2 linked regions of the Sus scrofa genome follow. The protein of the gene in region 2 interacts with the protein of the main gene of each other region in a biochemical or structural test. Links are inferred from orthologs where the notes say so. Each region holds a gene or a part of one and is shown on either strand. Other genes may lie near its edges.

Region 1 (9,981 bases), on a different chromosome or scaffold from region 2:
GTTTCTAGGCTTCCGAGGTCTCTGCAGTGTATAGTCATTCCATTCACTCAACAAATATCTGAACGTCTACACACTTGCAAGCACTGGAAATTTAACAGAGACCAAGAGAAACCCAAATCTTACTTACTGGACATTTATAAAGCACTTGCCCTCATGGAGCTTATCATCTACCTCTCTCTTCCCAGTCACCCTCTCTTCCTCTCAGGGGATAAACTGCTGTCAAGTGAAAGAAGAAAAACTAGCCTTTGCTGTGAAAGGCAGTGCAAAAATGGCTGAAGGACACAGTCTGAGAACATACACCGCTGCAAGCTTCAACCCTCTCCTTTAAGTTAATCTAAAAGAATGAGCCCCCGTTGTGCAGCAAACGAGGTGTCACAGAAGTAAACCTGAGTTAGTGGCTCAGATTCAAGTCCAACTTCTATTGGTATGTGACCCTGGGATAGTTGGCTTCTCTTCCCTGAACCTCATCCATAAAGTGGGCTAGGTAGCACTGCCAGAGATGCAAACTCACATGCTTACAGGGGCCAGGCAATTTTACCAATGGGTGAGACAGAACTGATGGAGACAATGGCCAAGTAGAGGGACCATGTGCTGGGTATAAGAGGCAGCCTTGGGAATTCCCTGGTGGCCTAGTGGTTAAGGACTCAGCATTGTCATTGCTGTGGCACAGGTTCAATCCCTGGCCTGGGAACTTTCACATGCCCGGGCACAGCCAAAAAAAAAAAAAGAGGAGGCCTCTACTTAGTTCCAACCAATGTAATGTAATGTGGGGATGTCTGACCTTACCATTTTTCAAAAGACAGAAATCAGAAACTATGAACTCGCCATACGTGAGGGGGGCAGGTGGTGGCTAGGACGGAGACTGAAACATTTCCCAATTTCTCATTATAAGAAATTTCAAACACACACGGGTTCCTCCTGTGTGGCCTGACAGGGCTGGCACGTTCGATCCTGGCCCAGCACAGTGGGTTAAGGACCTGGCATTGCCACAGCTACAGAGTAGGCTGCAACTGCAGCTCCAATCTGATCCTTAGGAAATCCATATGCCACAGGATGGCCAAAAAAGAAAAAGAAATTTCAAACATACAGAAAAGTAGGAAGAATAGTTAACATCTTGCCCTGCTGGCTTTACCCACAAACCTACATCATGGAACTTCATACCTTTAGCACATAGCTCCAAAAATGACATTCTCCTTCATAACCACACTATTACCATGTCTACAAAATAATTCCCAAATGTCACCTAATAGGGCTGAATATTCAGACTTCCCCTATTGTCTAAAACATGTTTTTTAGAAAAACACTATCTTTGAACCAGGATCCAGTCAAGGGTCACACCTTGCATTTGGCTCCACTCTTCTTTACTCTCAATCTATAACAGTCCCTTCTTTGTTTTGTTTTGTTTTTTCCCCCATAACAATGACTTCTGGAAGAGAATCAGGGCAACTGTCTTGTAAAATGTCTCACATTTGGGACATCTTATCATTACCTCAATGGTGTCCTTTAATTTGCTCCCTTGTTCTCAAAAAGCATGATTAGTGTAACATACATTTGGCAGGAAAACATCGGAGATGATGCACTGAGATTCTTGTGTCATCACATCAGAAGACACATCATATATTTCTAAGTTATTAAATATTTCTACATGAAGTCAACTTTATTCTTTCTGATGTTCAAATTGTCCCAAATTCAGCCAATTCTCTAGATATTTAAATGCTGGCAACTAACTTTAAAAAAAAATTAAAACACTGTATAAGAGATAGTTTTTAACCTCCAGACTGTATACGTTCTCTTGAAGGCCCTTTGTGTTTCTCTCACTTACAATTCTGACAACCTTGGTCCACTAGTACAGAGTCAGAGGCAAAACTGTGGCCCGAATGCAGTCTGTCAATTCCCAGGCTACTTTCCACTTTGCAAAGGAACCCCAGTGCCCAAAGGTCTCTCATTCCATCCTGGACGCCCTTAGAGGCAAGCCAATTTCCTCCTTCCTTTCTGTATAGAGGAGGAAATCACTGCCCTTCCTTCCCCGAAGAGCTACTAAGAGACTCAGCTGAAAAATGAACATGAGAGCACTTTCATCAACTCTGTAAGACTGTGTACAAATCTAAAGACTCCAATTTATAAGTAACCCCTTCCTTTCCTCCCAGGACCCTCAGTCAATCCTTTTCAGGTTCTCCACTGAGTTCAGTATGTCTTCACTTCCTCAGAATTAACTCCCACCTCTCATTTCCATGCCCCAATTTTGATTTGCCCCTTAGGTCATCTCCCCCCTCAAAGCCCCACCCCCATGCCTTTTTATTGCTCTTCAGATAAATCATCCATTTCTACCCCTCTGACAGGTCCCTCATTAATTCCAGTTTAATCCTCACTCAAAACAAAACTACCTGCTGCCCCAAGCTCTTGGATCAACTCTTCTGGTACACTCAGGGCCTCCCAACACCCCAATCCTTCAAACAGCAATCCCTAAACTCCATCAATCCCACCTGGGTCTTCAGGCCCATTCTCATCATTTAATTTCCCATCTTCTATTTCAGGTGCCTTTAATCCTCAGACCAAGGCTCGCTAATGCCTCATGATGTGCCCAATCACAAGAAGACCCTGCACAACGGAAATGAACCTGAAGTAACCCAACCTCACCCCACCCACCACGCACACTCTCTCTCACCAAAAAATTCTACCCCTCAAACTAAGTTCTCCTGACTTGCCTGCTTCCCCAACCCTTAGATCAATTAATTCTACACTCTGTCCTCAATCACATAATGACTCCCCATCACCCAGCCCGCAGCTATGAACTCAACCATTCGCATATTTCTACTGAGATGTATAGTAAACATCTAAAACATAATCCAGGACTTCTCCTGTGACTCAGCTGGTTAAGTATCTGGCACTGGCACTGGAGCAGCTCAGGACACTGCTGCAGCGAGGATTCAATCCCTGGCCCAGAAACCTCTGCATGCCACAAGCACAGCCAAAACAAACAAACAGCAACAAAAAACCTAAGTCCCAAAGAGAACCCCCGATTCTTCCCCCACCCCACCAAACCTGCAGTTTCCCCCACCTCCGTCAGGAAGGGCACTTCCATCTTCCCACTTGCTCAGGCCAAAAACCTTGGAACCTTCCTTGAGTTCAGACTCTCATACCCCACACAATGAACCCTTGAGCAAAGTCTGTCCCCTCTACCTTCAAATTATCCAGAATCTATTTTTGACCCTTTCCTAGAGTTCCGAGCCACCATTACTTCTGTCTCAAGGGGATTACTGCAGCAGCAGCCTCCTAACTGGAATCCTTACTCCCACCTCTGCCCACATCAACCTATTCTCCAATGCAACAAGAGTGATGCTTTTCAAACACAAATCAGATCACGTTACGCCTACGCTCAAACTCTCCAACGGGTTTCCCAGCACATTTATAATAAAAAAAGCTACTCAACTCCTTTGGTTCCAGTCACCCTGAGGCTCCAATGTGCCAAGCATGCTCTGGCCTCCAGGATGTTACACTTGCTGTTCTCTATACCAGGAAGGTCCTTCCAGATGGCTCTTTCCTTTCATACAGGTCGGAGGCTCAGTGTTACCTCTTCAGAGCCTCCCCTGGCCCCTCTCAAAATAGCTCTCCCACCTCACCATCCTTTATTGCTCCTCTTCTCCTTGTCTCTCTAGCACTTACATTCCTTAATATTTTATTATTTCTTTATGTTTACCGCCTCCTCGGGTAGAATATAAGCTCCAGGTGAGCAAGGAGTCTGCCTAGTTCACTGACCCACGCTCCGTGCCCATTAACAGTGCCCGTGGCAAGTGCTCAATCAATAGCTGATTAAATCAATCACCTCTTTCAAAGACCTCACGCCCTCGGACAATTTCTCCTCCATGCCCAAGGATGCCCAATCCCGTCCTCTGTGGACACGCCCCCACATCTAGACACAAGCAACCTCTTCAGGTCCTCCTGCCCCCCTAGACGCTTCAAACCTGTCAGGACTCCCACTTGAAATAACCTGCTCCAAGACACCTCAAAACCCCTCATTCTTTCAGACTAGCCCACCCTTTAGAGGCCACAAGAATGAATGGAAGCTCGCATCTGCTCGGTTCGCCAGTCTCACCAGCGGCCAGCACAGAAGACGTTCCCATTACCTATGAATGAATGAACTATGACCTCCCCCCCGCTTTCATCCTTTCCATGCGTTCCTGGCCCCCTTCTATACCCTAAGCCTTCCTCCTCACCTCGATCTAAATTCCAACATCACTCCCTCCGAGCGCCGAGCCCCGGAGTCTTGAATCCTCGCGAACGCTCCGGGCTCTCCCTCCGCCCCCTCTAGACGCCTCCAATCCCCCAGAACGGCCTTCCCACCACCCTGGGACGTCCTCGCTTCCCATACCTGCCGAGGAAACATCCCAAATCAAACCCTCCAGTCCTCTCAAGCGGGCGACCATGCCCGGGTACATGATTCCCACCTCCTCTCTTCAAATTCGACCCTCTGGCTCCCCGAGGGCCGCCAACGCCTCAGGCCAGACGCCCCTCCAAACCCTCAGCCCCACAAGCCGCACTGGCCCTGACCGTTTTTGGGCCTCCAGTCCCCAGAGACGGATCTGCCGGTCATACTGCGCCGCCTCCTCCTCGCTGATACCGCCGCCCGCCTCCTCCTTCTCCACCATGGCGCCAGCTCTCGCTGCCTGCGCTCGGGTCCGTTCGCAGCAACCGCCCGCCGGCCCCACACGCCGCCAACCGCCGCCGGCCGCGCTCCCGGGCCGGGTCTGCGCCTGCGCCGGGAACAGCGCCTGCGCAGTACCGCCCCCACCGCCGCCACCCGGCCCTGGAGCCTGGAACCAAGTCGAACTCCTAAGCCTCCAAAGCGGGCGGGCTGGCAGGCGAGAGCCAGTCACGTGACAGAGGCTGCTGCCAATCCCGGCCAAAAAACTGCAGGGCTTCTGAACCCGCGAGGATACCCAAGTGATCGTTTGTTTGTGAGTCTATTAATTCAGCAATAACGAGGGAGCATGTGCTGAAATCGCAGCAATGGAGGTGTTGTGAAAGAGTGTCGAGTAATACATAGTCTTGTCCAGAGGGAGCTTACATTCTATTGAGGAGGGCCCAGGGGAAAAAAATAGAGGAAAATTAAAACAGGATATGGGAGTTCCCGTCGTGGCGCAGTGGTTAACGAATCCGACTAGGAACCATGAGGTTGCGGGTTTGGTCCCTGCCCTTGCTCAGTGGGTTAACGATCCGGCGTTGCCGTGAGCTGTGGTGTAGGTTGCAGACGCGGCTCGGATCCCGCGTTGCTGTGGCTCTGGTGTAGGCCGGTGACTACAGCTCCGATTTGACCCCTAGCCTGGGAACCTCCATATGCCGCGGGAGCGGCCCAAGAAAATAGCAACAACAACAACAAAAAAAAAAAAAAAAAAAAAAAAAAAGACAAAAAAACAGGATATGGCACTCCAGGGTGACAGCAGTGGCCAGAGAAGTCCTCTCGGAGAAGATGCCATTGAGCAGAGATCTGAAGGGAACTGTAGAAACAAGCTACATAGATAACTGGGTAGACGGAGCATTTCTGGACAGGAGAACAAACAGCTGGTGCAAAGGCCCTGAAGCTTACTGACACAACTGAGGAGCCCGCGAAGAGGGCAGGGCAACTGGAACAGAGTGAGAGGGTGGGAAATGGTAGGAGTTAAAATCATAATATGAAGCAGGTGGGGAATAGTAAGCCCTTGTAGGTTAGTGATAGCTAATGTGTATTTTCTGTAGGCAAAGTGCATTTTTACTATCCATTCAACAAATAATTACTAAATGCATGTTGATTCAGTAATTATGTGCTAGGACTAGGGCAGTGAAAAAGAAAAAAAAAAATGAGTTCCTGCTGTGGCACAGTGGGTAAAGGATCATTGTTACCACAGCCATGGTATAGGACACAGCTGCGGCATAGGTCACACCTGAGGCTTGGATTCGATCTCTGGCCCAGGAACTTCCCTATGCCAAGGGTGCAGCCAAAAAAAGGAAAAAAACGGCTGCCCCCTCATGTAGGGTAAATGGGCTTTGTGTGGATGGATTATTTCTCTAACCCTTATGAGAGTAGATAATTTATTTAATAGTCCCATACCATAGCTAAGAAGTCTGAGGTACAACAGATTATCAGTAGCCTGAACGAAGTCTTATATCATAGAAGTAGTGAATCTAGGATTCAAATCCAGGCTGTGTGGCACACATACAAGAGGTTACACCGCTGGTGGTACATTAAGCTCCTACTATGTGCTCTGATCTTATCCAGTGGGTACATACTCCGTGAACCTCAAAGATAGACTTTTCCTCCACTTTACAATATGACTCTGGGACCCAGAAAAGGGTAGTAATTCATCCCAGGTCAAAATACCATTGAAAAGAGTTCTCGGAGTTCCTGTCATGGCGTAGCAGAAACGAATCCGACTAGGAACCATGACATTGCGGGTTCATTCCCTGCCTGGCCCAGTGGGTTAAGGATCTGGTATTGCGGTGAGCTATGGTGTAGGTCCCAGATGCAGCTTGGATCTCATGTTGCTGTGGCTCAGGCATAGGCCAGCAGCTGTAGCTCCGATTAGACTCCCAGCCTGGGAACCTCCATATGCTGCTGGTGCAGCCCTAAAACGACAAAAGACACCAAAAAAAGAGTTCCCATTGTGGCTCAGCGGAATTGAATCTGACTAGCATCCTTGAGGATGCAGGTCCGATCCCTGGCCTCACTCAGTGGGTTGAGGATCTGTCGTTGCTGTGAACTGTGGTGTAGGTCGCAGATGTGGCTTGGATCTTCTGTGGCTGTGGTGTAGGCCAGTGGCTACAGCTCCAGTGCAACCCCTAGGCTGGGAACCTCCATATGCTGTGGGTAAAACCCCTAAAAAAAAAAAAAAGACAAAAGATGTATATCATTAAAAAAAATGTGACCGGAGTTCCCATAGTGGCTCAGTGGAAAGGAATCTGACTAGGATCCACGAAGATGTTTGTTTAATCCCTGGCCTCACTCAGTGGGTTAAGGATCTGGCGTTGCTGTGAGCTGTGGTGTAGGTCGCAGATGTGGCTCAGATCTAGTGTTCCTTTGGCTGTGGTGTAGGCTGGCAGCTGCAGCTCCGATTTGACCCCTAGATTGGGAACCTCCATATGATGCACATGTGGCCCTAAATAGACAAAAAACAGAAAACAAGAACAAACATGGCCAATACCTACTCTGTTGGTAAGCGATGTGAAATAAATTACGTAGAAATTTGGGGGCTTAATGACTATTATCTCTTATTCTGTGAATCGGTAATGCAGGAGCAGTTTGGGTGGGCAGTTCTTGCTCAAAGTGTCTCATGAGGATGCAGTCAGATGCCAGCTGGGGACTTCATCTGGGCCAGGGATCAAACATTCACCACAGCTGCAGGGGGAGCCACAGCAGTAACAACGCTAGATCCTTAACTTGCTGTGCCACCAGTGGAACTCCCAGGGCTGCAGCCTTCTGAGGACAAGGTGGGGAAGATGCCCTTCCAAAGTGACTCACAGAGTTCCCACTGTGGTGCAGTGGGTTAAGAACCTGACTGCATTGGCTTGGGTCTCTGTGGAGGAGCAAGTTTGATCCCTGGCCCAATGCAGTGGGTTAAATCATCTGACTCGAATTCAAGCCCTGACCCAGGAACTTCCATATGCTTCAGGTGTGACTATTAAAAAAAAAAAAAAAAAAAAAAAAAAAAGAGTTCCCCTCATGGCTCAGTGGTTAACGAACCCAACTAAGAACCATGAGGTTGCGGGTTCAATCCCTAGCCTTGCTCGGTGGGTTAAGGATCTGGTGTTGCTGTGGCTGTGGTGTAGGTTGCAGCTCTGATTCAACCCCTATCCTTGGAACCTCCATATACCATGGGAGTGGCCCTAGAAATGACAAAAAAAGAAGTGGGGAGTTCCCATCATGGCTCAGCAGAAATGAATCCAACTAGCATGCATGAGGACAAAGGTTCGATTCCTGGCCTTGCTCAGTGGGTCAGGGGTCCTGTGTTGCCATGAGCTGTGGTATAGTTTGCAGATGCAGCTTGGGTCCAGTGCGGCTATGGCTGTGGCAAGGGCCAGCAGCTGTAGCTCCAATTCTGCCCCTAGCCTGGGAACCTCCATATGGTATGAGTGCAGCCCTAAAAACCAAAACCAAAAAAAAACATGGTTGGCAAATTCATGTTGGTTGCTGGCTGGGGACCTCCATTCTTCTCCACGTGGGTCTGTCCACCTGCTGGAGTGTCCTCATGACATGGCACTGGCGTCCCCCAGCACAAGTGATCCTTCAGGGCAGGCTGAAAGCAGGAATGCTTTTTATGCCTCAGCCTCGAAAGTCACACATGGTCACCAATATCCTATTGGCCACTTACTGGTCAGCTCTGTTCATTGTGGGAGGGGATGATGAAAGCGTGTGACTATTGGGGGCAAGGATCATTTGTGGACCATCTTGAAGGTTGGTTACCACATCAACTATGTGTCACATCCTGTGATGATAAGGTGAACAAGGGAAATATGCCCTGAGTGGTGCTGATACAAGAAGGGGAGACAGTGCTTCATCAATCAAAGGATTGTTCACTATGGAGTGCCTGCCATGGCTCTGTGGTGATGAACCCAACCAGTATCCATGAGGATGATGGTTCAATCCCTGGCCTTGCTCAGTGGGTTAAGGATCCGGCATTGCCATAAGCTGTGGTGTAGATTGAAAATGCGGCTTGAATCTGTCATTGCTGTGGCTGATAGGTATAGCTCCAATTCGACCCCTAGCCTAGGAACTTCCATATGCAGAGGGTGCGGCCCTCAAAAGCAAAAAAAAAAAAAAAAAAAAAAGAAAGAAAGAAAGAAAAATTTTAAAAAGAGAATTATTCAGTAGTTCAACTACTCAACAAATAATTTACCAAATCTCGACTATGTATTGAACTTTGTGCCAGGTCCTGGGGTTATAATCCTGATAAAAATGGACACATTTGGAGTTCCCATGTGGCTCAGCAGGTTAAGAACCTGACTAGTATCCATGAGGATATGGGTGAATTCCCTGGCTTCATTCAGTGGATTAAAGGATCCAGTGTTGCTGCAAGCTGCAGCATAGATTGCAGATGTAGCTTGTAACTGGCGTTGCCGTGGCCATGGGCCTGCAGCTCAGATTCCACCCTTAGCCTGGGAACTTCCATATGCCACAGGTTCGGCCCTAAAAAGAGAAAAAAAGAAGGGTTCCCATCGTGGTGCCATGGTTAACGAATCCGACTAGAAACCATGAGGTTGCGGGTTCGATCCCTGGCCTCGCTCAGAGGGTCAAGGATCCGGTGTTGCCGTGAGCTGTGGTGTATGTTACAGACGTGGCTCGGATCTGGCGTTGCTGTGGCTGTGGTGTAGGCTGGCAGCTGCAGCTCCGATTCGACCCCTAGCCTGGGAACCTCCACATGCTGCGGGAGTGGCCCAAGAAAAGGCAAAAGAGACAAAAAAAAAAAAAAGACAAGAAAAAAAGAAAATGGGCACACTCCTGGAATGCTCCTAGTGACTCTGAGGGTTAAGGATCCGATGTCATCATGGCTGGGGCTCTGGTCATGGCTGTGGTGGGGTTCCATCCCTGACCTGAGTGCTTCTGCATGCCACAGACAGGGCCCCCAAAAAGGGACACACTCCTGCTATGGGGGGAATCACAGCCCAGTACGAGAGATAAAATAGTGACATAAAAAATAAATACGAACTTTGAGAAGTGTTATCAAGGAAGAAGGAATTATGACAGTGTCTGACTTGGCATAGGAGTCAGGAAAGGATACTCTGAGAATACAAAATTTCAGCTGAACTTTACCGAGTAAATAAAGATGAAAACTTCTATATCAGGAAAAGAACCCCAACTAGAGAGGATGGCTGCATCTGCCAAGACCCAGAGTCTAAGCTCATTCTCTTTGTCTGACTCTGCCTCCCGGAGGGTCTCTCCTTAGAGACTGCCAGAGGGAAACTTAAAGCATTTCCTCAGATCCTTTGATAGCCTTCATTTATAATGGGGGA
Region 2 (10,066 bases):
ACTGGACGAGGCTCCTTTTCTCAGGGGGCCCCCCTTTTGCTGCGGGCGTTTGCTTTTCCAGTGTCCCATCTCCTTTACAACATGCACGTTGCCCTCGTCTCAAGGGCGGCTCCTTCCTGCTCCCTTCTGCCTGGTGGCCGAGGCCACCTGCTGGGCTCGGGGTTGCCTGGTGCGGCCGCCCTCAGGGACACCTTTCGTTTCATCTGCCTTCCGGCTTCCCGCAGGGCTTGCCATCTTGGCTCACAAAAACCTTCCCTGCTGTTTCTAGCAACTGTGACGCGTTCATCCCAGCTAAGCCGTCCAACTTGTGTCTTACAAGCATGTGGCTGGAAGACGGGGCCACAAAGGCTGCATTAACCATTCGCTGATGCCCAGGTGCCTCAGGATCCAAGGGAGGGAAGGTCTGCAAGGCCTCACACAACCTCTCGTAGAAGTCCGTCGGTGTCTCGTCGGATTTCTGGATCAGCACGGTCGTCGTCTTTGTCACATGGGTGGCTTTTGGCTCCGGCCCGCAGCCGTGAAGGAGAGCATTCCGACGGCACCCCAGGGCGCCCACCCGGCCTGAGTGTTGAAGCCCCAGTCAGGTCTGTTTTCTGGAGCTGCCCTCTGTGCCCACCCCTCAAGGTCAAGGGTGCCTGCAGGAGGCTGTCCGTGGAGCCACTTGCAGACCCCTCCTTGGTGCTGGCGCAGGTAGGGAGGAGTTGACGGGTGTCGCCCCAGGTTGGCTGGTGGGCTTGGAAGATGGATTTTCGGAGTGAGCTGGGTGAGGCGCCTCCAGTTCAGGGGGTCGGTTGTGCTGAAGGGCTGGTAATAGAGAACGGGAGGGCCCAGCGCCATCACCATTTGCTTGTTGGGGGCCCCACATCTCCCACAGGGGAGCTTGGAAGGCTGCAGTCATTTGTGCGGACTGCTGAGCCCAGCGGAGTCGTCTTCCCTTTGGCGCTGGACTTGGGGCCCATGGCGGTTGTGGGACTGGTGGAGACACAGAGGGAGGTGGACTGTTTGGCAACTGTTGGGGTGGTGGTTGCACAAGAAAGGGTGGAGCCGTGGGAAGACAGGGCGGAGGCGGCGGGGCTGGAGGGGTGTCGTCTCCTGGGTCTCCTTGTAGGAAAGGTTTAGCCGGTCCTTCTTTTTTTTCCGAGGGCGCTTGGGCCACAAGGATCCTACATTGTCCCTGGCCATTGGTGCAGAACCGGACCCAGGGAGGCAAAGTCCTATGTATGGGAACTGATCGGGGTGTCCTGGGGTGTCGGTGACCACCCGAGAGGCCGCCCTTCCTGTGGGCATGTCTGGCGTGCCCTCTGAAGGCCATCCCACTCCAAAGGAGGGCCACTTTGGCTCACACGGGGTGTGGCGTTGTCCAGGGTTCATTCCGACGCCATAGTCCCCCCAAAAGCCCTTCTTGAAATTCTTGATCATGCAGTTTAAGCCGTGGGCTTAGATTTAGGTGCCCCCGTGGTGTTAGGTCCTGATCTACTGCCCACAGCTAGGAGCCTGCTTCAGTTTCCGTGGCGGATGTCCCTTTTACTGTTGCCTCCTCCACTCCCCAAAGCAGAGCGACCCCCGCTCCGCCCACTCTATGGCGGGGGAGGGGTGCCGGGGGGCAAGCACTTGCTTTGCCACTAAGGATGCTAACCACTCCGGGTCTTGGCCCTTGGGGCGAGTTCTTGGGAATATTCTAAGGCTTCAATGAAACTCAAGGGTCTTTGGATGCAGTCTTCCCTGAATCTGGAGCTAACGTAACACGATCTCAGGATGGTGGGTGGACGACAAAGCAGGTGGACTAGAAGGGGGATCTCCTAGTGTGGCTGCAACCAAAAATCCCCTTTACTCAGCTCCTGGGGTTCTGAGAGCAGGCAGAATGAACAATCCCGAGGTCCACCCAGGATTCGGGCCAAGATTCCTGGATTTCTGGGGATAAGGTCAAATTCAAGATTTCTTTGAAGAACCTCTCCTTTGTAATCGCCGAGGGCAAAGGGGTCTTCGACTCATGTGAGGGTGGTCTCGAAGGGCTAATATCCCACCTGGGTTTCCCCCTGCAAGGCTGTGGCAAGCAAGACAAGGAGGGGATGCCCCTTCATGGAGCACACATTCAGATGTCTGCCTGGCCACCTCTCTCTAGGGAGTTTAGGTGCCTCTTAGCAATTGGCTGGTTCGTATAAACCCCGAACCTGGATCCAACTCGCAGGGAGGTTAGAGAATCCTCAGAGTCCCACGCAGCTGTAAACCGTATGAGGTTACCATGGAACCGCAGGTTAGGACCCACTGGGACCCCGTAGTGGAAACAGTGGAGCCACACAACTGAACCTGAGATGCAATCGTATCAGGCCACAGTCACTCATGCATTCACTCAGCCGTCACAGACCTCCCCCTTGGGAGGTCCCTTCCTGGGGTCGTCAGACTGGAAGACGTAGGTCTCCTCTTCTGCCAGTAGGCAGGACCTGACGGGGACTGGCCTCGGGGCCTTACCTTATTCCGGAGCTTTAACTAGTCTTGCTTGGGAGTTGGTCCGTCTCTCCACCGAGTCCGGTTGGGGTTCGGCCATTGGGAGGACTGGAGCACCGCCACGAAGGAGGACCCGAAATACCGTCGGGTGGAGCACCGCCTCGTTCGCCTCCGGAGCTCCCCAGCCTTCCTGCAGCTTCACCGCAGCCCCGGTGGCTCAAAGGGCCAGAACGGTTGGGGTCTCGCTGGGGCCTCCAGAAATGTTACAGCTCCACGTGCAGCACCGACCAGCGAGAAACCAAGCGACACTGGGAGAGGAGGAGAATTTAGCTCTCATACCCGGCCGGCCTGGGGAAGATTGCTCTCCAGAACCCAGGCCCCGAACAGGGGTGCTACAGGCTTTTACAGGCCAGTTCTTCTGGGTCCACGCTTGGAGGGGTGGACCGGAGTGGGAACTGGAGGAGCCGGCGGCAGGGAATGTTCCAGCTTTAGGTGTGGGTCTGTTAGTGGTCACATGATCATGGGGGGGCGCTGAGCAAGCGGGGCTTACAGAAGCAGAACTTGCAGTTGGAGAGGTTTTCCATTAGTAATGTCAGGTTTTCCCTTTCATTCCCCCAGGGCCAGCCCTGGGTTAGGGAGCGTCCGCTCTTCTCCTCCCATCGGTCGGGCAGCCACGCTACCTTTTGTACGGGGTCAGCTCATTGGGCAGATTCGGCAGACGCCCCGCCCTGAGCCCCGAACTGGCCAATTGCAAGGAGTTTCACGGCCTGCCGCGCGCGAGGGGTTGTCACCGTGCTGCGACGCTTCGGGGATCCCTAGGCCTCAATGATCTTTGCTCCCCGGCCCCGGGCCCTAGCCCCAAGGAGACCTCCAGGACCCGTGCCCGGGGAGGTGCCCGCGGGGCATCCGGGGGGCCCTTGGAGATCTCGGCCTCCTGGTTGCCCCGCCGCACGCCGGCGTGTCCTCGGATAGACGCGGGCCCCGCGAAGGGGAGTTTGCAGACGCTCCCTCACATAAGGGACGCGGCTCCTTTAAGGGCACAGGTGTCCAGGGCGCCGCCTGACTGGAAAGCCGCCCCCGGGGCTGGGCTCCCAGGCCTGGCCCGGGGCGCGGGCGCCCGGCGGCGGGGCACGGGCGGCGGGCGGCGCACAGCGACGTGGACGGCGCGGGGCGTGCGGCGGCAGCGGCGGGGCGCGGGGCAGGCGCGCGGCGGGCAGACTCCGCAGGCCCCGCCCCGCCCCGCCCGCGCCGGGGTCCTCGAGCGCTCGGGCTGCGCGCGGAGCGGGCTCGGGAGGGAAGTCCCGAGACAAAGGAGCGCCGCCGCCGCCGCCGCCGCCGCCGCCTCGTCCGCCTCACTCGCCGGGCCGCGGCCGCCCGAGGTGAGCGCGGCGAGACGGGCGGGCCGGGGACCGGGCCTTGTCGGGCTGGGGCCTCCGCCGCCGTCGGGCCCGGCCAGGCGGGCTCCCTCCACCCGCGGCCCGGCCGGGCCCGCTCCCGGGAACCGGCCTGCCCCGGTGTGTTGACGCCGCGGCGTGGGCCGGCCCGCTGGGCTCCGCGGCCCCAGACGGCGGGGGCGTCCACTCGGGCGCGCGCTCGGGGCGGGTCGCATCGCGGCCGGGCCGCAGACGGCGCCCGCCGCTCGGGCTGCGCTGACAGGAGCGCGAGCGGGCGCCGAGCCCTCCGCCGAGGCGGAGCGTTTCCGGGGTCACGGTCTGCGCGCGAACCTGTGGCGTGTGCCAGCCCTGGAGACGACGCATCGCACAAAGAGCGCAAAGCCTCGCGCTGCGGCAGCGCCGGCCCGTTTGGGGGTGGTGTGTGGTGTCTGTAAATCAAAACAAGTCCGAGTTCTTGCGCCTCCGGAGCCTCGGCCGCAGTTGGTGGGACCCTGGGCACCCGCGCTTCCTTTGACGGGGAATTTTCCTCCTGGGACTGCTTTGTACCAAGTGCACGGAGGCTGGAAGTGGTAGTTGAGCCAGGAGCAGGAAGGCCAGAGAATGATTAGCTGGGCTCGCGGTAACGGCCTGCACCTGCCTCTCAATCACAGAATTCACTGGTTTGGTTTGTGTGGTTTGAAAACAAGCTTAGTTCCTCGGGTTGCAAAGTTGTTGTTCTGTGTTTGCAGAGTTGGTGCCCTTTCCAGACCCCTAACCTCAAACGTTTCTTGCTACTAAGGAAAACTTTTTGGGTTGGAAGTCTTCCCACCAGAAGAGGGGAGTGGATCCCAAGTTTTCCCTGACTTGCTCATGGCCCGCCGGGTGGTTTAGGGGGTGAACTCTGCATCTTGTTGCGATAGTCTTGCTCGGGATTTGGGGCCTGGCTGCAGAAACGGGCAAGAACAGGGCGTGCACCTGGGCTGGAGAGTCTCCCGAGTGCAGGGTGCCTGCATCAGGTGAAGCAAATGCCTTCCCCCTGGGAAGCTGATGTTTGGGTGGGAAGGGCCCATCCTGGGCTGCTGATCCTTGCTCACTTTCACCCTGGGCCAACCCGTGAGTTCACAGTGCTGTGGCTTATCGCACAGCTGAGAAGGCTGAGGCTGGGAGAGAGAAGCATCTCGCCCGCATGTGCAGCCAGTTAGTGGCTCTGCAGGCTTTGCTGTCAAATCGCAGCGTGTGATCTAAGAAGAGGGGATTCAGGCACAGCTCACTCTGGAGGAAGGTGGCGTGGAGACTTCCAGAATCTGCCTGGACATCCCAGCTGCTGTCCTGCAGGCTAGCGGTTCGTGGGTATTTCATCCTTGCATCCTAACAATGTCCATCTCTGGAGTGTCTGCTAACATTCAGCTGCTTCGGGTGACTCTTGGTTGGGGAAGGCAGATTTAATTTTAAGTGGGATTCTGAAGGAGTAGCTCCCCTTGTCATTAAAATGTAACAAATTGGGTGCTTTCTCCCGGATAAGGGAAGGCCAGGCCTCTCTGCCTGGGCCTGTGGCTCTTCACCCTTTTGTTGCCTGGTCTGGTCCCCTGGCACCCCTGAGGAAGGGGAGGCAGGAGTTCCTGTGGGACCCCCCCCATTACCTTTGGCGCAGCCACAGCTGGGCTCTGGGACAGCCTGCAGAGGCAACTTTGTCCCTTGTCAGCAGAAGAGGTGGCCTGTGGCCGGGTGCTGGCGCACGGTCAGCAGGCAGGCAGCACTCAGGATGGCCCCCCTGGCCTGGTCTGCATCCTGGACAAGCCGTGACCCCTGCCCTCCTCCCCGAGCAGCCTCAGTTGCCCATTTAGTATCCATGGCTCCTCAGTGTCCACAGTGGTGCCCTGGGCCTTCATGACCCATGGTCAGCGCCTGGCCAGGTGCAGACTCACGGGGAGCAGCCGCTTGCTGGACTCCTGCCTCCGTTAATTCAGACGTGTCCGCCTGCTGCCGCCTTTGCCCTGGCTGCCCAGGGGCTGCAGAGACCCTCCAGATTCCTCAAGCCCTGCGGGAGGGGCAGCCCCACTAGCTGCTGGAGTGGGTGGGGCAGGGTTCTGTTTAGAAGTGAAGGGTTGGGGAGTTCCCGTCCCGGCTCAGAGGTTAACAAACCCGACTAGTATCCCGGAGGATGCAGGTTCGGTCCCCGGCCCGGCTCAGTGGGTTAAGGAGCTGGCGTTGCTGAGCTGTGGTGTCGGCCAGCGGCTACAGCTCCAATTTAACCCCTAGCTTGGGAACCTCCATATGCCACAGGTGCAGCTCTAAAAAAAGACCAAAAAAAGTGAAGGGTTGGAGGCAGTCAAGGGAAGGAAAGCTTTTCAGACTCGGGGTCACTGCCCCCGCCTCCCTTGGGCGGTCCCTGGCCCTCGCAGCCAGTGACCCTCCTGGCTCTTCTTTCTGTTCCTGGTGAGCCCGCCTGGAACAGTCCCTTGCATTGCTGCAGCTTGTGCCCACGCGGGCACCTGACCCTGTAGGACCGGGTGCCTCCCTGCCATCGTCCTGCTTCCTGTGTCCTGGCACCTAGCACTTCCCAGCACACGTCTTCCTCCTGCGTGGGCCTTCTGCACAGCCACAACTCTGTCTCTCCTCAGTTTGTGTTGTGTGAACAGACAGATCCCAGGCGGGGAGTTCCCATTGTGGCTCAGTGGTAACAAACCCGACTAGTGTCCATAAGGACGTAGGTTTGAGCCCTGGCCTCGCTCGGTGATCCAGCCTTGCTGTGAGCTGCAGCGTAGGTCACAGATGTGATTTGGATCCTGCATTGCTGTGGCTGTGTCGTAGGCCAGCAGCCGTAGGTCTGATTGAATCCCTAGCCTGGGAAGTTCTGTAGGCCGCAGGTGCCGCCCTAAAAAGACCAAAAAAAAAAAAAGCTGTTCTGTTTTGGGTGCAGGACTGGTGTTACTTGTCTGGGACTTAATCTTGAAGCCTGGCGGGGTGAGAGCCTGTGGAAGGTGTGCTCAGAGTGCTGGGGTGGAGCTGCACCTGTTCCCATGCCTCCTGAGTGGCAGGGGCTTCAAGTTTTGACCGTCTCTGTTCCTCATGGTGGCACGAGCACACCTGCTTGTGGACAGTGCACCACATGCAGTTGGTCCGGTGGTCTGCACTAACTCACCCTGCTTCCGAGACCCGGGCTCCTGTGTCGTGCTGGAGGCTGCCACGGTGATCCCCAAAGGACACCCAGAGTTCCCGGCTCCATGGGGCCCCTGGGCCTGGGGCCCGTCCGTGTCATAAACACCCACTGAGGCTGCCATCCCGGCCTCGCCGACCTGCTGGTCTGCGGTTGAATGGTTGCCGCAGCCCCACCCTCCTGCACAGACAGGGGTGTGTTTGTGTTGGGGGCCTGGCGACAGAGCAGCCAAGGAGCAGATGTGGGGTCAAGGTGTGATTTGTGCTGCTGGAGCAGCTGGGGCCAAAAGGGGTGTGGGGTTGGGCGCGCCAAGTGATTAGGGGGCCGGGGCTGCTGTGAGCAGCAGGCGGCGGGCGGACCCCCTGTGTTTGAGGTGTGCCCCCCCTCGGCGGCGGGGTACTTTCTGGATCCTCCCTTCTCAGGCTTGGTAGTCGGCAGTGCTGTGCTGAGGCTGGGGTCCTGGGTCTGGGACAGGGCTGGCAGGGCTGGTTTCCGGTGCCGTCTGTAGCAGGAGTTTGGCCTTGACTGGTTGAGTGCCACGTTGTGGCCGCATCCGCTGCCCATGTGCTTCCAGGATGCCCCCCCCAGGTCCCCCGCCGACTTGTCAAAGCCTTGCGTAGCGGAAGCACTTGACCTGAGGATCCTTAACATTGTCAAAGACACTGAGGAGCACTGGACACAATGAGGGTCAAGTTCTCCAGCAAGTTCTGTGTCCCCTAAGGGCTGCGTCCTCAGGGACAGCAGGGGTTACAGTCGAGCGCCCTGTGCCTGGCCTGCGTGATGCGGAAGCGGCGGGCACCAAGCCTGGAGGGTCTGTGGTCCGGAGGTGCAGGGGGAGCCCCACACGAGGAATGAGCAGGCTTTCCAGCAGCCCCCCTCCAGTGGGCCTGCTCCCCTTTTTGTCGTCTTTCCTAAAGCAAATGGGAGGCAGTCTTGGTTTGCTCTTGGCAGCGGAAGTGGCAGTGATCCTGGGGTGGGGCCAGTGAAGACGCTCAGGCCTGGCGACAGTCGCAGCGGGGTGCTGGCCTTGCCCTCCTTAAGCTGCCCTCTGTCCGGGGAGCTTTCCTCTGCTTCCCTTCCTCCCGGCGGGGCCTGAGCCTAGATTCCGAGCCCCCGATTCTGTGCTGGTGGCCTGACAGCACCCCAGCTGCAGCAAAGGATGCGGCCCCGCCCCTGGCTTCCCAGGGCTCAGGGGCTCGACACCTCCTGTCTTGTCCTTGCCCCTCGTGTGGGGTCTGGTGGTGAAAGTGGGGTCCCTTTCATTCCGGCAGGCGGCACAGCCGGAGAGGCAGGACTGTCGTGCAGGTGGCTGCTGGGAGCACACGGTGTCCCCTCCCTGTGCGGCCTCTAGCAGCCGTGACCTGGGCCCGGGGTCTTGTCTCTGCCCCTCCGGGGGTGGGAGGTTGACCCGGTAGGTACCTGCACAGGCCGGGACCCAGGGGCGCGAGCGTCTAGCCGGCGGGCAGGGCAGCGTGCGGGGCGGCGGCGCGTGGGGCCGGGTGGGGCCCTTTGGGGGCCTGCTCCTTGGACGTGAGCCTGCTAGGCCGGGCCGCCCTGGCTCACCGCTCACCCCGCACGTCTCTTGCAGGGACTGGAGATGTCGGGGATCGCCCTCAGCAGACTCGCCCAGGAGAGGAAGGCCTGGAGGAAAGACCACCCCTTTGTAAGGAAAGCTTTGCTTCGGCGGGGGGCGGGGGGCGCGGGCCGGTTCCCCGGAGACCCTCGTGCCCACGGGCCGGCCCTTTGGCCCCTGCAGCGCAGCCAGAGGGCTTGTTCTGGGAGTGGGGGGGCCACTGCCGCGGCGCTGACGGGCCTGTGTGGTTTCTCGCAGGGGTTCGTGGCTGTCCCCACAAAAAACCCCGACGGCACAATGAACCTCATGAACTGGGAGTGCGCCATTCCCGGGAAGAAGGGGGTAAGAGGGGGCCCCCGAGAGGGCTCGGGTTCAGGTGTACGGGACGCTGGGGACGGTCACGTGAGCCCTGGTCCTGTCCCTGGTGGGGGGGGGGCACCTCAAAGACAGGATGACAGGTGGTCCCTGGGCATGTCCTGAATCAGGTAGGACCTGGGCTGTGGCAGATGGGGAGGGAGGCGCCGCGCGGCCGGGGGCCAGGGAGGTGCCCAGGCTGAGGCAGCCTGGCCGGGGTGACGCTCCCTGGGACGCCTGCCTGCCCCTGGGTGTGGAGGCCGGGCGTCGGCCACCGAGCTGGCTGTGTGGGGCCCAGCGTGCCCTTCATGCCTGGCCACGGGGCTGCCCCTCGGCCCATCTGAGTGTGCCCGGGTCTCTTCGGACCGGCACATGGCAAGCATTTGGGAGGAAGAGTGCGGTGACCCAGGAGGAAGGAGGCGCCCCCTTCTGTGCTGGGTGATGAGAGGCTCCGTGGCCTCCATCCGTGGCCTCGACGCGCAGGAGGGGGACCCGGGGGCCTGAGGGAAGGCCCTTGGCACCTCTTCCTGGGGCCCACGGAGGCCCTGACGGTGCGCGGGGTGGGTCGGCGGGGTTCTCTCGGTCCGGGGCACGGCGGGAGCAAGCGCAGCCCCTGCTGGGCCAGACCGGCCGCGGAGACCCCTGCTCACCTAACAGAGTGTTGCCTCCCCGCAGACGCCGTGGGAGGGAGGCTTGTTTAAACTGCGGATGCTGTTCAAAGACGACTACCCGTCCTCACCGCCGAAATGTGAGTAGAGCCGAGTCCTCCCAGATCCCTCAGCGTCGGCCGCATTCCTCTGGGACCGAGGTCCTCAGAGAGCTTGGGCCTGTGGGGCCTCAGGTATGTGCCCTGCTCCCCGCAGCTCCATGGGCGCCCGGGGAACTCAGAACAGGCCCAGCTCCCACCCCGGGGGCCTCCTGGGCCCTTCCCGCCGGCGGATGAGCTCCCGCCCTGGGCCGGCGTGCGCGCTGAAGGACCGCGGACCAGAGCCGCCCCCCAAGGGGACTTCCTCGCTGGTTGGGGTTTCAGGCCCAAGCTGCCTGTGCAGACGGCAGAGCGGGCGGCGGGAAGAGAGGCCGAGGCTGCGCCTGCGGTTCTGCTGTGGTGGACGCAGTAACCCGTTTACTTAGCGAAACTCGGGAGGGTTCTGTCGCTGGAGATCC

The links. The genes of interacting proteins can lie anywhere in the genome.
Region 1: of the proteins of UBE2I (region 2) and SAE1, one has a biochemical effect on the other in vitro, tested with the Homo sapiens proteins (6 studies listed by BioGRID, with this or other methods). The link is inferred for Sus scrofa from reciprocal best matches to the Homo sapiens genes UBE2I and SAE1.

What each region holds. Positions count from the first base shown.
Region 1 is NC_010448.4:52,952,241-52,962,221, reverse strand, and holds the start of SAE1 (SUMO-activating enzyme subunit 1), read right to left. Parts: upstream 4,749-9,981; 5' UTR 4,647-4,748; coding exon 4,549-4,646; intron 1-4,548. UniProt on the Homo sapiens protein: The heterodimer acts as an E1 ligase for SUMO1, SUMO2, SUMO3, and probably SUMO4. It mediates ATP-dependent activation of SUMO proteins followed by formation of a thioester bond between a SUMO protein and a conserved active site cysteine residue on UBA2/SAE2.
Region 2 is NC_010445.4:40,562,580-40,572,645, reverse strand, and holds the start of UBE2I (SUMO-conjugating enzyme UBC9), read left to right. Parts: upstream 1-3,704; 5' UTR 3,705-3,824; intron 3,825-8,246; exon of another isoform or gene 8,247-8,386; intron 8,387-8,563; 5' UTR 8,564-8,572; coding exon 8,573-8,638; coding exon of another isoform or gene 8,639-8,806; coding exon 8,807-8,890; intron 8,891-9,577; coding exon 9,578-9,650; intron 9,651-10,066. UniProt on the Homo sapiens protein: Accepts the ubiquitin-like proteins SUMO1, SUMO2, SUMO3, SUMO4 and SUMO1P1/SUMO5 from the UBLE1A-UBLE1B E1 complex and catalyzes their covalent attachment to other proteins with the help of an E3 ligase such as RANBP2, CBX4 and ZNF451.